4 linked regions of the Kluyveromyces lactis genome follow. The protein of the gene in region 1 interacts with the protein of each later gene in a biochemical or structural test. Links are inferred from orthologs where the notes say so. Each region holds a gene or a part of one and is shown on either strand. Other genes may lie near its edges.

The links.
Region 2: the proteins of VAM3 (region 1) and SEC17 form a complex in vitro, tested with the Saccharomyces cerevisiae proteins (3 studies listed by BioGRID). The link is inferred for Kluyveromyces lactis from reciprocal best matches to the Saccharomyces cerevisiae genes VAM3 and SEC17.
Region 3: the proteins of VAM3 (region 1) and VTI1 form a complex in vitro, tested with the Saccharomyces cerevisiae proteins (6 studies listed by BioGRID). The link is inferred for Kluyveromyces lactis from reciprocal best matches to the Saccharomyces cerevisiae genes VAM3 and VTI1.
Region 4: the proteins of VAM3 (region 1) and SEC18 form a complex in vitro, tested with the Saccharomyces cerevisiae proteins (2 studies listed by BioGRID). The link is inferred for Kluyveromyces lactis from reciprocal best matches to the Saccharomyces cerevisiae genes VAM3 and SEC18.

The regions. Positions count from the first base shown.
Region 1 is NC_006039.1:1,128,520-1,131,020, forward strand, and holds VAM3 (SNAP receptor VAM3), read right to left. Parts: upstream 1,290-2,501; coding exon 501-1,289; downstream 1-500. Other genes in the region: MET4 (Met4p), read left to right, coding at 1-349; DNA-directed DNA polymerase alpha catalytic subunit POL1, read left to right, coding at 1,810-2,501. UniProt on the Saccharomyces cerevisiae protein: Required for vacuolar assembly. Provides the t-SNARE function in a late step of the vacuolar assembly. Required for homotypic vacuole membrane fusion, autophagy and fusion of biosynthetic transport vesicles with the vacuole.
Region 2 is NC_006041.1:529,694-532,696, forward strand, and holds SEC17 (alpha-soluble NSF attachment protein SEC17), read right to left. Parts: upstream 1,602-3,003; coding exon 1,572-1,601; intron 1,350-1,571; coding exon 501-1,349; downstream 1-500. Other genes in the region: RPL43B (60S ribosomal protein eL43), read right to left, coding at 1,983-2,259, 2,754-2,755. UniProt on the Saccharomyces cerevisiae protein: SNARE complex protein that binds to cis-SNARE complexes on membranes and is required for vesicular transport between the endoplasmic reticulum and the Golgi apparatus and for homotypic vacuole fusion.
Region 3 is NC_006038.1:899,697-902,200, reverse strand, and holds VTI1 (v-SNARE protein VTI1), read left to right. Parts: upstream 1-1,338; coding exon 1,339-2,004; downstream 2,005-2,504. Other genes in the region: YAH1 (adrenodoxin), read right to left, coding at 135-635; KLLA0_B10263g (uncharacterized protein), read right to left, coding at 2,285-2,504. UniProt on the Saccharomyces cerevisiae protein: t-SNARE found in various SNARE complexes involved in multiple transport pathways. The composition of the t-SNARE complexes is specific for a limited number of v-SNAREs and therefore allows only the vesicles carrying the matching v-SNARE to fuse.
Region 4 is NC_006039.1:1,269,005-1,272,937, forward strand, and holds SEC18 (AAA family ATPase SEC18), read right to left. Parts: upstream 2,796-3,933; coding exon 501-2,795; downstream 1-500. Other genes in the region: RPG1 (translation initiation factor eIF3 core subunit a), read right to left, coding at 1-183; PIB1 (phosphatidylinositol-3-phosphate-binding ubiquitin-protein ligase), read left to right, coding at 3,211-3,933. UniProt on the Saccharomyces cerevisiae protein: Required for vesicle-mediated transport. Catalyzes the fusion of transport vesicles within the Golgi cisternae. Is also required for transport from the endoplasmic reticulum to the Golgi stack.

The sequences.
Region 1 (2,501 bases):
GAGTCTCGATGAGAAGATAAACGAAAAAAAGCATAATACTGATTCTGATAAAAACAATTCCTCCAGTGATGGTGTAGAATCGTCGTCCACTTCCTCAACCCTTTCTTCAAGACCCAAACTGCCGAACTTGGATCAAACTAAAAAACTTAAAGAGAAAGAAATGGAAACTTGGGTCCAAGATCTTTCACAGTTAGCTTGTGACTTGAAGCAAAGAATCAATACCCTTGAAATGGAAAACAGACTTCTCAAAAATCTTGTCATTGAACGTGGAGATCTCAAGAATGTTGAGTCTTATGAACTATCCAAAAATAACTCCTCCGAAAGCACTAAAAAGGATACTGACAAGTAAGCTATGATTAATAATTAGTTGTAACCTCTAAGTCGGACATATTTACCTGATGATGCGTGTTCTCTAAAACGTAACGTAACTTTCATCCAAGTATAAGGCCAGAGATAAATTTTGTATTAATATATAGTTACATTCCTCGTAGAATCTAACCCTATGATAGAATCGCGATAAGAGTTATTAGAGTGATAACAACAATAGCTACTAGAAGTATTGTACCACATCTGTTCTTTTTCCTTTGATATTCATTTGCTTTGTGAAGTTCTTTGTTCGCCTTTTGCAAATTATTAGATAATCCTGTCACATTTTCGCCAATTGTGTCAACTTGTTCGCCCTGTTCCTGTACCAGACTTCCTAGTTGTTTGAAGATGGCATTGACCTCTTGCACAGCAGAGTGGATTTTTGATATGTCCTGGGATCTTTCATGTTGAATTATCGTGTGAAAATCTAACTCATCCTGATTCAACAAAGGCTCTTGCTGTTGGGTAGACAAAAGTAACGGAGTATCCTCTGAAGAATGATCCCTCCTCTCGATATCGTCTTGTATTGGCATGCTTTCATATTGCGATACGAGATGTTCCGATTCATTATCTTTACTCTCTTCGTCAGGTATGGGATTCTGTACTGCCCTATTCTCATAATCGGTCTTTACACTGTTATATTGTTTGCTTAACGCTTGAAAATCTCGAGCAAATTTATCTTGTGTATCTAGCGAAGTTAAGTCAGCCAGTTTTCGACTAATTTTCTGGATTTCGGGGATTACTCTATTTTTTATATCAACCCTCAATAGTTGTCCGTCCTTGCTTGTCCCTATTAGATGAGCTTTACGCTTGAGTAATTGAATATTCTGTTCTAGTGTTATCAACAAAGGCACCGCATCGTTTCCACTAGAATCTGCACGATTGTCCTCCTTTTTTGGAGTACTATTTTGATAAAAGGACATCAGATGTAACGCGATTATCTTTACGGGTCCTGCTATCAGCTGTTTCCTTAACAGTTATCCTTCCCTTCAGTTAATGATCACAAACCTCAATTTGAGCACTTTAAAATTGAGGACAGTCTTAAACCACAGGTCATGTGATCCATTTTTCTTTCCAAGCCAACGCCAATTGGTTCAACTAATGGAAATTCGTATCATAATATTGAGGAGCGCACACTCTCTAACACTTCAGCGGCTTCACCGTTTAACCACTCAAGTGTTGTCGGTATTCTACTGTCACTCAATCTTTCGCTCGCTTTTCTTCTCATGCACTCTCGCTTTGTCTCAGCGTTGGTGCCATTAAGTTCATAGATTTCGAACGCGTGCTTTGCAGATAGATACAACTTTAAAAAAAAAAAGAACGCGTAAAAGTAAGAACATCTTCATCATCTTCTTCTTGCAACTCAAACCAGGAAAGACAACAAAACTAAATTACTAGGGTAGTTCGTACTGCCACCCTACACTATTAAAACACTAGCTCGGGATGAGTAATGCGAACAAACTTGAACTGCTCAAAAAATTGCAGAAAGCTAGGAATAATAAATCGAATAGGGATGTGCTAGATGAACAACTGGAAGAAGAAAATGTGTATGACTTGATTGACGAGGATCAATATAGGAGTAAGAAAAGACAAGAGTTGTTAAGAGATGATTTTGTTGAAGATGATGATGGCAGTGGATATGTGGATCGTGGTGTAGATGAATGGGATCAAAGTCAGGAGTTCTACTCTGATGAAGACGATGGTGTTGATGCAAAGTCAGGCAAAAAGCGTAATAAGACCAGTAAGAATAACAAAGGTAAGGATACCATCAGCGATATCATAAAGCAACAAAATGTCAAGAGAAAAATGACAATGCCAACAGAAAAACCTAAGAAAGTGTCACTTGCTGAATTTGATGATATTTTGAGTGAATTTGACGCAGAGCCTCTGGTTAAGAAGCCGAAGCTAACGATATCCAGAAAACAACCTGCAAATACTACGCCTATGAACTATAAACACCCTCAGGTAGATACATCCCCACTTAAAGGTAAAGATGTTGTACCTTTTAAAGCTGATAGCGTTAATCCTATCGATTGTGATTCAATGGAAGAGGACCACGATATTGAATCATTATTAAACGATGTGGCTAGTTCTCCTTCAATGAGCAAGCAGAAGACATATCAAAGCGAAGATGA
Region 2 (3,003 bases), on another chromosome or scaffold:
GAACGTTTTAGAGATCATGTTACCCCTCAGTTGATGTGTTTTCATTCATCTAGTGATATTATCAATCAACTGCCTTTTGCGTAGGCTCATCTAGTAGATTTGCTGAGGAAGTATCATCATATTCATTAAAAATTGTACCAGCATTCTGAAATATTAGGTTTGTTTCTTACCGTAAGAAGATGTAAAAAATTGTGATACATTTCTTACTTAATTGTATATTTATTCAAAACGGTAAGGGAGCCGTTCGTCAGAAGCTTAAAAAACATTTTCGTTACCATTAACATCTTCAAAATTTCCAAACGTCCAAGCCAGATGGCAAGCTTATTTGCATCGATATAGTTGATAATGGGAAATGAAAGACGTTAACGTGAAACAAACCACTCGATGTGGTTGTACAAATGGGTATACACCATTTATAAAATAATTATTCCACCAAAAAAGTGACAGTTGTGTTAGAGAAAAGAATACAATTACAAGAGAATGAGTTGAATATTACCATTTTATAGTAGATCGTCATCCGCCTCGACGATTGTATTTTTCACCTTCAAGAGTATAGTTGTTTTCCAATGGTCTAACTTATTGAACCTATCATATTCGTAGATCTTTTGCGATAATTTTTCAGTATCACCTTCCCTTACAGCTTCAATTACGTTTGATAGTAACTCAAACTCCCTTGATTGAGAGAATGATGGATCCAACGATTGTGATTCGTTCAAACTTTTATCTGCAGCTACAACATCACCAGCAGCAAGGTAACATAGGCCAATCTTCAATAAGTACTCTTTGAGCGACCACTGGCTTAATTTATTCCCCAATGAATTTTCAACGACTTTCTTTAAGATCTCGGTAGCTTCCAAATAATCACCGTTCAAAGCTTTCAAATCGGCGCATTTAATGTAGGATTTATTCGAGAGAGCAATAGCTTGGTCTTGCAAATACCAATCACCAGCTGTTTCATAATTGGCAATGGCACTTGGGTAATCCTGTAATTGCTGTTCTTGTAATTCAGCCAATTCGAATTTGAAGTTGGCACCTCTTCTAAACTGACCTCTTCTTGTGAAAATATCTATCGACTTGGCTAAGGACTCAGCAGCTTGTGCTGGAGAAGATCCTGTCTTGAAACACTTGTAGGCTTCGATATACGTATTTCCTGCTTCATCTTCATTAGAAGCCTGTATTTGACACTCTGCTGCCCTCAAGAAAGTATCACCCGCTTGATCCAACTCCTTTCTTAGCCTATAGAGGTTTGCAGCCTCGATATAAAGATCTGCTGCTTCTTCGTAACGGTAAGAGTCTGAACCGCTAAGGAAACTGAAAAATCCTGATGATGGTTTAGCCTTCTTTTCGGCCTATTACAAAAATGACATGAGATATGTTTCCATACCATTAAGTGAAAAAGAGAGAATACGAATGATAAATCACTTCCTCTTTCATCACATTATGGCTAGGGTTTGCATATGTTTATTGTTAGTATTAGGGGTTCAGGCGAGAATAAGGTCAACCATTGTCATCATACTTTCCTAGACTTATTGATTTGACCTTTCAACATAAATGATGGAGAAAAAACGTACCTTAGCTATAATTTCTTTAACATCCGACATATTCAAAGAAAACCTGAGTGGGATATGGCTGAATGCTGTTAACTTTTGTCAACCAAGAGCTTGCTTACAACTTTTACTATCAAACTATCAACATTGTATCATCATTACATGTTACATATTCTAATTACCATCAGAAAGTAAAGAAATTCCTTAAGGGGAGAAACAACGGAAGGCTATCAGCAGCCGGGTAATTAATTCACGTGACTTTCAAATAGGCTGGCCTGGGAGCCGGTCCAAGGTATTTGGCTGGACGCGAGGATGAACACTCGACCATCACGCCTAAATCAGTTATATAGGGTAGATGGAATATAAAATAACACAAAGTGGAAAGATACGTTTTATTGAAGGATACTTATAACATGATTATACGATGCAACAAGCTTAAGCTTCAGCCATGTCTCTCAATCTTCTGATGGTAGATCTGACGGTAGCGGCAGCGGCGGTAGACAAAGTGTAAGCACCACCAGCGATGGTTCTGTTACAAGAAGAACAAGACCAGACACCAGCAGCACCTCTCTTAACACAAGTCTTACCACAGAAAGAACAGTTATAAGTGGCGTGTTGTTGAACTTCCAACTTCTTAACTTGTCTTCTCAAAGAGGAACCGTAACGGACACCGTACTTACCAGTGATACCAACCTTCTTAGTTCTTTTAGCCCTGAATATAAAATGAATTGTGTATTCATTACGTCCGATTCCAATAGTTCGATTCAATTTGTTCACATAATGGGTGGTAATGAATCGATACCACAGGTAGAATGGGTAATAACACAGATATAAAAGTTAGTAAAATTGTTGCAATTAAAGGAACAACAGTTTTTTTGGGGGAGGAGGTCTAATAGATCGTCATTTATTCTGCTGTCGTGCGTGTGGAGCTGACACTATAAATCATCACACTGGAATTTTGCATCTAGCTGTAGTTTCTTGTGCTTATGGTATAATTCCAGTTACCCATTTGTCACTACACTTCTTCTATGTTGATTCCATCTCCTAGTGAACAGGTCAGTCTGCCTGTATCGTATCAGTCTGCTTCTTCTTCGTCTTCTTCAATCCTCATCGTCTAGTCTATCATAGTTCATAGTTCAACTTGTTATATCGATCACTGAGTTCTTCGGCCCCATAACTGTGCGCGGTGTGCATTAGGTATCATACATTTTGGTTTCTTTGTGTTTGCTTGGTTTCTGGAGGGTATATAAGAGTGAATATGAACAACTATAAAACGTAGTTAACAACCTATACAATCTTTAAATTCTAATCACTTGCTAAAGATGAAAACTGGTTGGTATTGTAAATGAGTTTGAAACTCGTCAAGTTTGCAGAATTGAAAAAACTGTGAGGATGAAAGATCCACTGTCCACTAAAACAAGCGTAGACCGAAAAGAGGATAGTAGATTTTTTGTTA
Region 3 (2,504 bases), on another chromosome or scaffold:
GCTTGGTTGATTGCTCCTATTTACAGGTAATGCAACTGGTGTCACTCATGTCATGCTTCCCCTGTTGGGAAAAAAAGAAAGATCTAAAGCTGTCTCTTTTCATATGATGACTGAATTCAGTTTAGTCATTCTCTCTATTCGAAGTCTGAAGATGAAACATTTCTTGTCATTGAAGGAAGAGCGACTCTGATACCATCGATATCCTTATTCATTTTAATGCAACATCCCAATCTACTTGTCTCAGTTAACCCGTAAGCCAAATCCAACATATCATTTTCATCATCGTCAGGTTCTTCTAATGCGTCGTAATAGTCTGGGTCCACAATCACGTGACAGGTCGAACAAGCACAAGAACCACCACAGGCACCCTCCATATCTAGATTATGGCCTTGAGCTATATCCAAGAGAGAGTCCCCTTCTGCCACTTCAAAAGTCTTTTGTGTTCCATCCTTCAATATGAATGTCACATGCAACTCTTCTCCCGGTTTCGGTTTATGTAAATGTCCATGGTATCTCTTCCATGACAAATTTGTACGGGCTAACCATATGTTGTGAGAGATGCTAGGAGAAGTAATGCTTCTGGCTCTTAACTGGTTCAGATGCCCAGCTTGTCTAGTCAATATTCCTCTGATCATTGATTATACAGGAGTTTTTCCAAATAGATATGGATGATTAAAAATAATTCACAAACAACAACGATAAGTGTTACTAAAAGGAAACCAAAGACCCTTTCCGTCTGCTATACCACAATGAGAAAAAAAGCTGTCCTGAACTTTTATCAACTCTGATTCTTAAGTAGCTTTTATTTGGCAAAAAAAGGTTGCTTTATATCTAGTTCTCCCTTCAGTTCACATCGAAATTGGCAAATGCTTATTGTTAATCATTCAATTATTGAATCTCATCGGATTTTTCCCAATTTGTCAGTGTTCATGAAAACGCCGGTATGAAATGAAACCAAAGACAAAAAAAACAGACCGTTTCTGGGCCTGATTCCACCTCGGTCTTCCGCGGATTTGGCGGATGTGGTTCAAAATGATTGTTTGCCCTTATCTAGATACTGGTCTTTACATGACTCAATCAAAGTCACGTGAACAATGTATTTTTCTTTCTTTTTCTTTCTATTCCCTTTATTGAAGCTTCTCCCATGAGTTCAAGTTAATGTTAGGAATCAACGAAAAGCAGGCCTGGTGATTAAGCTGTTATAGCTGGTAACGGGGCCTACTTCAGACGTACATTGGCCTGCAAGTTTACATTCAAACCTTAAATTTCCTTTAGGTTGTGAAATTCGGGAAGAGATAATATAAAAAGGAAGGTTCTGAACCATATTATTTTATCAGGATGTCCTCATTATTGCAGAACTATGAATCTGAATGTCAAGTCGCTATAAACCAGGCGAAGGTTTTGCTTGCTAATGCTAAGAATGATGCCGGTGCTGTTTTAAAAGGTGGAAAATCGGATATACTTTTACAAATTCAACAGTACCATGATGAATCTTTAGAATTAGTGGATCAAATGGAAATAGAGTTGAATAATACAGGGAACTCGTTGGATTCTAAGACAAGGGCATCTTATAAAGCAAAGATCAGAGATTATAAGAGACAGTGTCAGAATGAAATTAAGGATCCTTTAAAGCAATTGGTGCAAGAAAGCGATAGGAATAAGTTACTTGAAGGTCGCCACTTCGATAATGATGAACAAAGGCAACAGCTTTTATCGAACCATGCGCTTTTACAACGTTCTGGTGATAAATTACAGGATGCTACAAGACTGGCATCCGAGACTGAGAACGTTGGTGCACAGATAATGATGGATTTGAGATCTCAAAGAGAAACATTGGAGAATGCAAGACAAACTTTGTTCCATGCTGATTCGTACGTCGACAAGAGTATTCGCACTTTGAAAACCATGACTAGAAGACTCATAGCCAATAAGTTCATTTCTTACGCAATAATAGCGGTTTTGATACTACTTATCTTGTTAGTGATATTCTCCAAATTCAAATAGTAATCGATTTCTCTGCGTCTTTTAGTTCAGTCTCAATGCAAGTTTAAGCAGAATAGCTATAGTAATGAATTTATATAATTTTAATTTTGACCCTTGTGGTATAATTTTATACTCTCATGAGAAGAATACAATTTACCGTGTATAAATGATATCTGATTTTGAATACTTATCTAGTTGTATATAAAATAAGAACGATATAAGAAATAATAATAATAAAAATAATAATGATAATGATAGTAATAGTGATGGAAAAAGGCCGGTCAGAATAGCATAGCGCTGTTCATGGAAGACATTCTAATTCATCTTCATCAGCTGAATTGATAGTGGTATGAGATAGACGCCTCCTTAATTCATTTACTAGACGTGATTCTTCTTCGGCTAACTGGTTCTGTTTCAGTTTCTCGAAGGTCACACCTTCTTCATCGTCTTCTTCGCTACTGATGATGCTTCCGGAGCGCTGAGCAAGTTTTGCAGATTCACGTCTTGTGCTACCAATACAA
Region 4 (3,933 bases), about 140 kb from region 1:
TTCAACACCAAGTTCCAAGAACTTGAAGATTATAGGTTCCAAAGTGGCAGCATCAGCAAAACGAGACCTTCTTGAAGATAATAAATCAAATAGAGATTGCAACGCAGCCATTGGCTCGCCAACAGAGACTAATTCGTCAGCTCTTCTAATGGCATTCTCAGGACGTAAAGCCGGTGGAGCCATGATGAAATGCTAGTATAATCGATGGGTCGAGAACGGTTGTTATCTACCCTTTCTAAATCAGAGACTAGATCCAAGTATATATCTTTATTTTGCAAGGTGCAATAGGAAGAAGTTTCACATAAATAGACTGAAAAGTTTTTTTTCACTTATTCTCTTTGATCTTCAACGGAAGCATGCTGAAAAATTTCAACCTTCATCAAAAGTTGATATCATTGAGAACGAAGTTGAAGTTTATGTGCTATGTCGCGAGTACATATCACATATGTATAATATATATATATATATAAATGTATCATATTAGAAATGAATAGTATAATTCAAGATGATTGCACCATTAGATCAACAAGTTCATTGACGGGATCCTCATCGTGTCTTGCTGTTTCAATGTTTGTGAGTACTTTTTTCACGCCGACGTTGAGAGTAGATGTAACTTGGGATAATTTGCGGATAACTTCGACTCTACCAGCATCGTCAAGAAATCCGGAATCTGTCATAATGTTATTCAGTTCATCTAGGTTTGATACGTTTGGGACAGCAATTTCGTTGTCGAAACAACTTAGTATATCCATTTGCTTAAGCACCGTGTAAGCGGACGTAGTAGAGATGATAAGCAAACGACGATTATTTGGAGGTTTTCTTTTCAAATAGACCTTGAGTACTTGTAGGATATTATTAGAGAACCTTGGACCAATTGGAACCCAGTCAACTAGAGTCTCTATCGAATCGATAACTAGAATGTTAAGTGGCGATTTGTAAGCATCTCTGAAGGTATTGTCGATGTATGCGATCTTGGCCGTTTCCGACATACCTGCTATTTCTTCAGGGGAAATTAATCTAACAAATGGGAACTCAGACTTCAATGCAATGGCGGCAGCTAAGGCAGTTTTTCCTGAACCTGGAGGACCATGCACTAGTAAGGATACTAGTCTTGATTTGTCTGACTCTCTCACTTGACGGACGTATCTAGCACCGTTTTTCAAAATGTCGTCTACGGAGTTGGAGAACCTAAAGACTCCACCTTCTACGCAAGTCTTCAAATCTTCTTCACTAACACCAAACGCAGGAGTCACTTCATCTAACGCATTCAAGAAATCTTGTCTAGTCACCTTCATGTTTGCAATGTCTTTGGTTTTTAGTTTGGTTGCCCCTTTTCCGATATTTACAGTCTTGTTGATTGCAAAAGAACTAGCACTCTTCACCAAACCCTCAATTTCAGCACCGGAGAAATTCTTCGTGAGTGATGCAAGTTCTTTCAAGCTAACATCATGTGCGAGCATGTTGTTTTCTCTCATTTTCTTGGTTTGGATTTCGAAGATTTGTTCTCTACCTTCTTCGTCCGGTAATTGAATTTCAACTTGTACTTCGAATCTACCAGGACGTAGTAAAGCGTTATCAATCAAATCTTTACGATTGGTCATACCAATAACTAAGATATTGTTCAATTGATCGACACCATCCATCTTGGCAAGTAATTGGTTGACAACATTATCACCGACGCCAGTTCCATCACCTCTTGAGCCTCTTTGTTTGAAAACAGAATCCAACTCATCGAAAATGATTATATGTAACGAGGACTCTTCTCCCTTTGCCTTGTATTCAGCTTCCGCGTCTTTGAATAGGTTCCGGATGTTCTCCTCTGAAGATCCAACGTACTTACTCAAGATTTCAGGACCGTTCACGATCTTGGGTTCCTTTGCGTTTAACATAGTACCAATTTTACGGGCAATCAACGTTTTACCTGTACCTGGGGGTCCAAACAATAGAAGACCCTTGACATGGGAGATGCCTAACTTTTCAATAACAGCTGGAGGGAAAATTCTGCTAGCGAATGCCCTTCTAAAAATCTTGGTAAATTCGCGGTCTAAACCACCAACGCCTAAGTCTTCAAATTTGAAATCAGGTCTAATAACGGCATCCGATCTTGGTCTCAGCGAGTTGGACGATTTCAAATTAACCAATCCATCTCTTCCTTTGAAAAAGTTTATCTGAGTTTGTTTGATTAAGATTGCCTTAGCTTCAATTGAGGTAGAAACCGGAGCTACAATTTCTACATCTCCCAAATCAATAGTTTGCGTTGATCTTACTCTTAGATCGAAGATATGTCCCTTAAACTCGAATATCAAGTACTGCGTTGGTGAGAATATTTGGGATTCAAAACTCTTTAAAAATTGCTTAGCAAGTTCATCTTGATCAAAAGGAGTCTCCACGGCTTTTCCTCTAGACCTGAAACTGATTTCCAGATCCACAGATCCTAGATACGCATGCTTGCCCGAATGTTGGAATAAATCGTACGGTTTCACCTGTACATCTTGATTCAATGACCAACCTCCCCAAGTACGTTGGTTACCATTAAATCCAATGGTACCAGGTTGAGTTTCGTTAGAGTGTCTTGTGGTAAACACGAATAAGTTGTCTATAATAACGTAAATATTCTCTGGTAAATCGCTTGGTGAGACAGCTGCCACATTAGCCAATGCATAACTGTTGTTTGGACAGTTAGCGACACGCAATTGTCTAGTACTCATATTAACATTAGACATATCAGGTACCCCTGTAGAATGCGTGGCCTTTCCAAAAGATGGCAACTTGCCACTCAACCCGAATTTCTCCATATTTCAAAAGGGGCGCAATGACACTTATAGCTTTCTGTGAACTCTTGGATTGTCAATTGAAGAAAAAGAATATAATATTCACTCAACTGTATAGTTAGCTTTTAAAGATCTGATAACGATACCTTATATTACTTAGTCTTCTCGTACTGTTTTCAGGCAATTGTCTGTCTAATTGTAGGTAAAGTATTGTTTCTCACCTATTGTTTCCTCGATTTCATGGTTTTTTTTCAGAATGTATGCTGCTAACATTAGGAATTTGTCAACAGAATCAGTTTTATAACAGAAAGCACATCATTTTAAGGATGAGATCATGAAAGCACAATAGTGGCTGTAATCAATTGTCCAAGACAGTAGAGCACTCTGTGAACACAGCAGGTTATTGGCTGCTACATAGAAAATCAGCTGAATTTTTGACATGACTACTGGTGCTCTGGTGGCAGGGCACGTCGATGGTGAAACGATGACTGTCACTGGTTCTTCGGATAATGCAAGGAGAGACAGAGACAGATGGCGGAATGGTAATATTTCCAGTCAGTTTGTGAACGAGTTTGGCGAGTGGGAAAAGGATGAGAATGTGACGCAGTGTCTAAGTTGTGGGATCAAGTTTAGTTTTCTAGTGAGGCGTCATCACTGTAGATGTTGTGGCAGAATTTATTGTGCTACTTGTTGTTCAAAATTCGCATGGTATGATAAAAACCGGGTTAAAGTGGTTTTGAAAAGTCCAGCAGAGTATGAAATGGAACCGTACAGGACTTGTGATTCCTGCTATGAAAATCTATTACAAATGAAGCTACTGAGAACTGCGTGGGGTGAAATACAGTTACCGAAACCACCAAGACGAATCGGAAATTCTATGGGATCTACTTCCGAAATCAACTCCATCCGATCATCGTCCATAAGGCCTTTTGAATTTATGAAGAACCAAAACGTTGTGGAAAATGTACGAGAAACTGAAAGCGAGAGAAATAGTCCCAGGAATATACATGCTGCTGATGAAGATTACGATCGATGTCCAATTTGTAATTTTGACTTACAAGTTTTCGGATCAGAAGAAGCAGCCCAACAAGAACATGTAAGCGAATGCATACGGCAAGCAGAACTTGCTCAACAGCAGCATAGTCTTATCGGAAGTCCAACT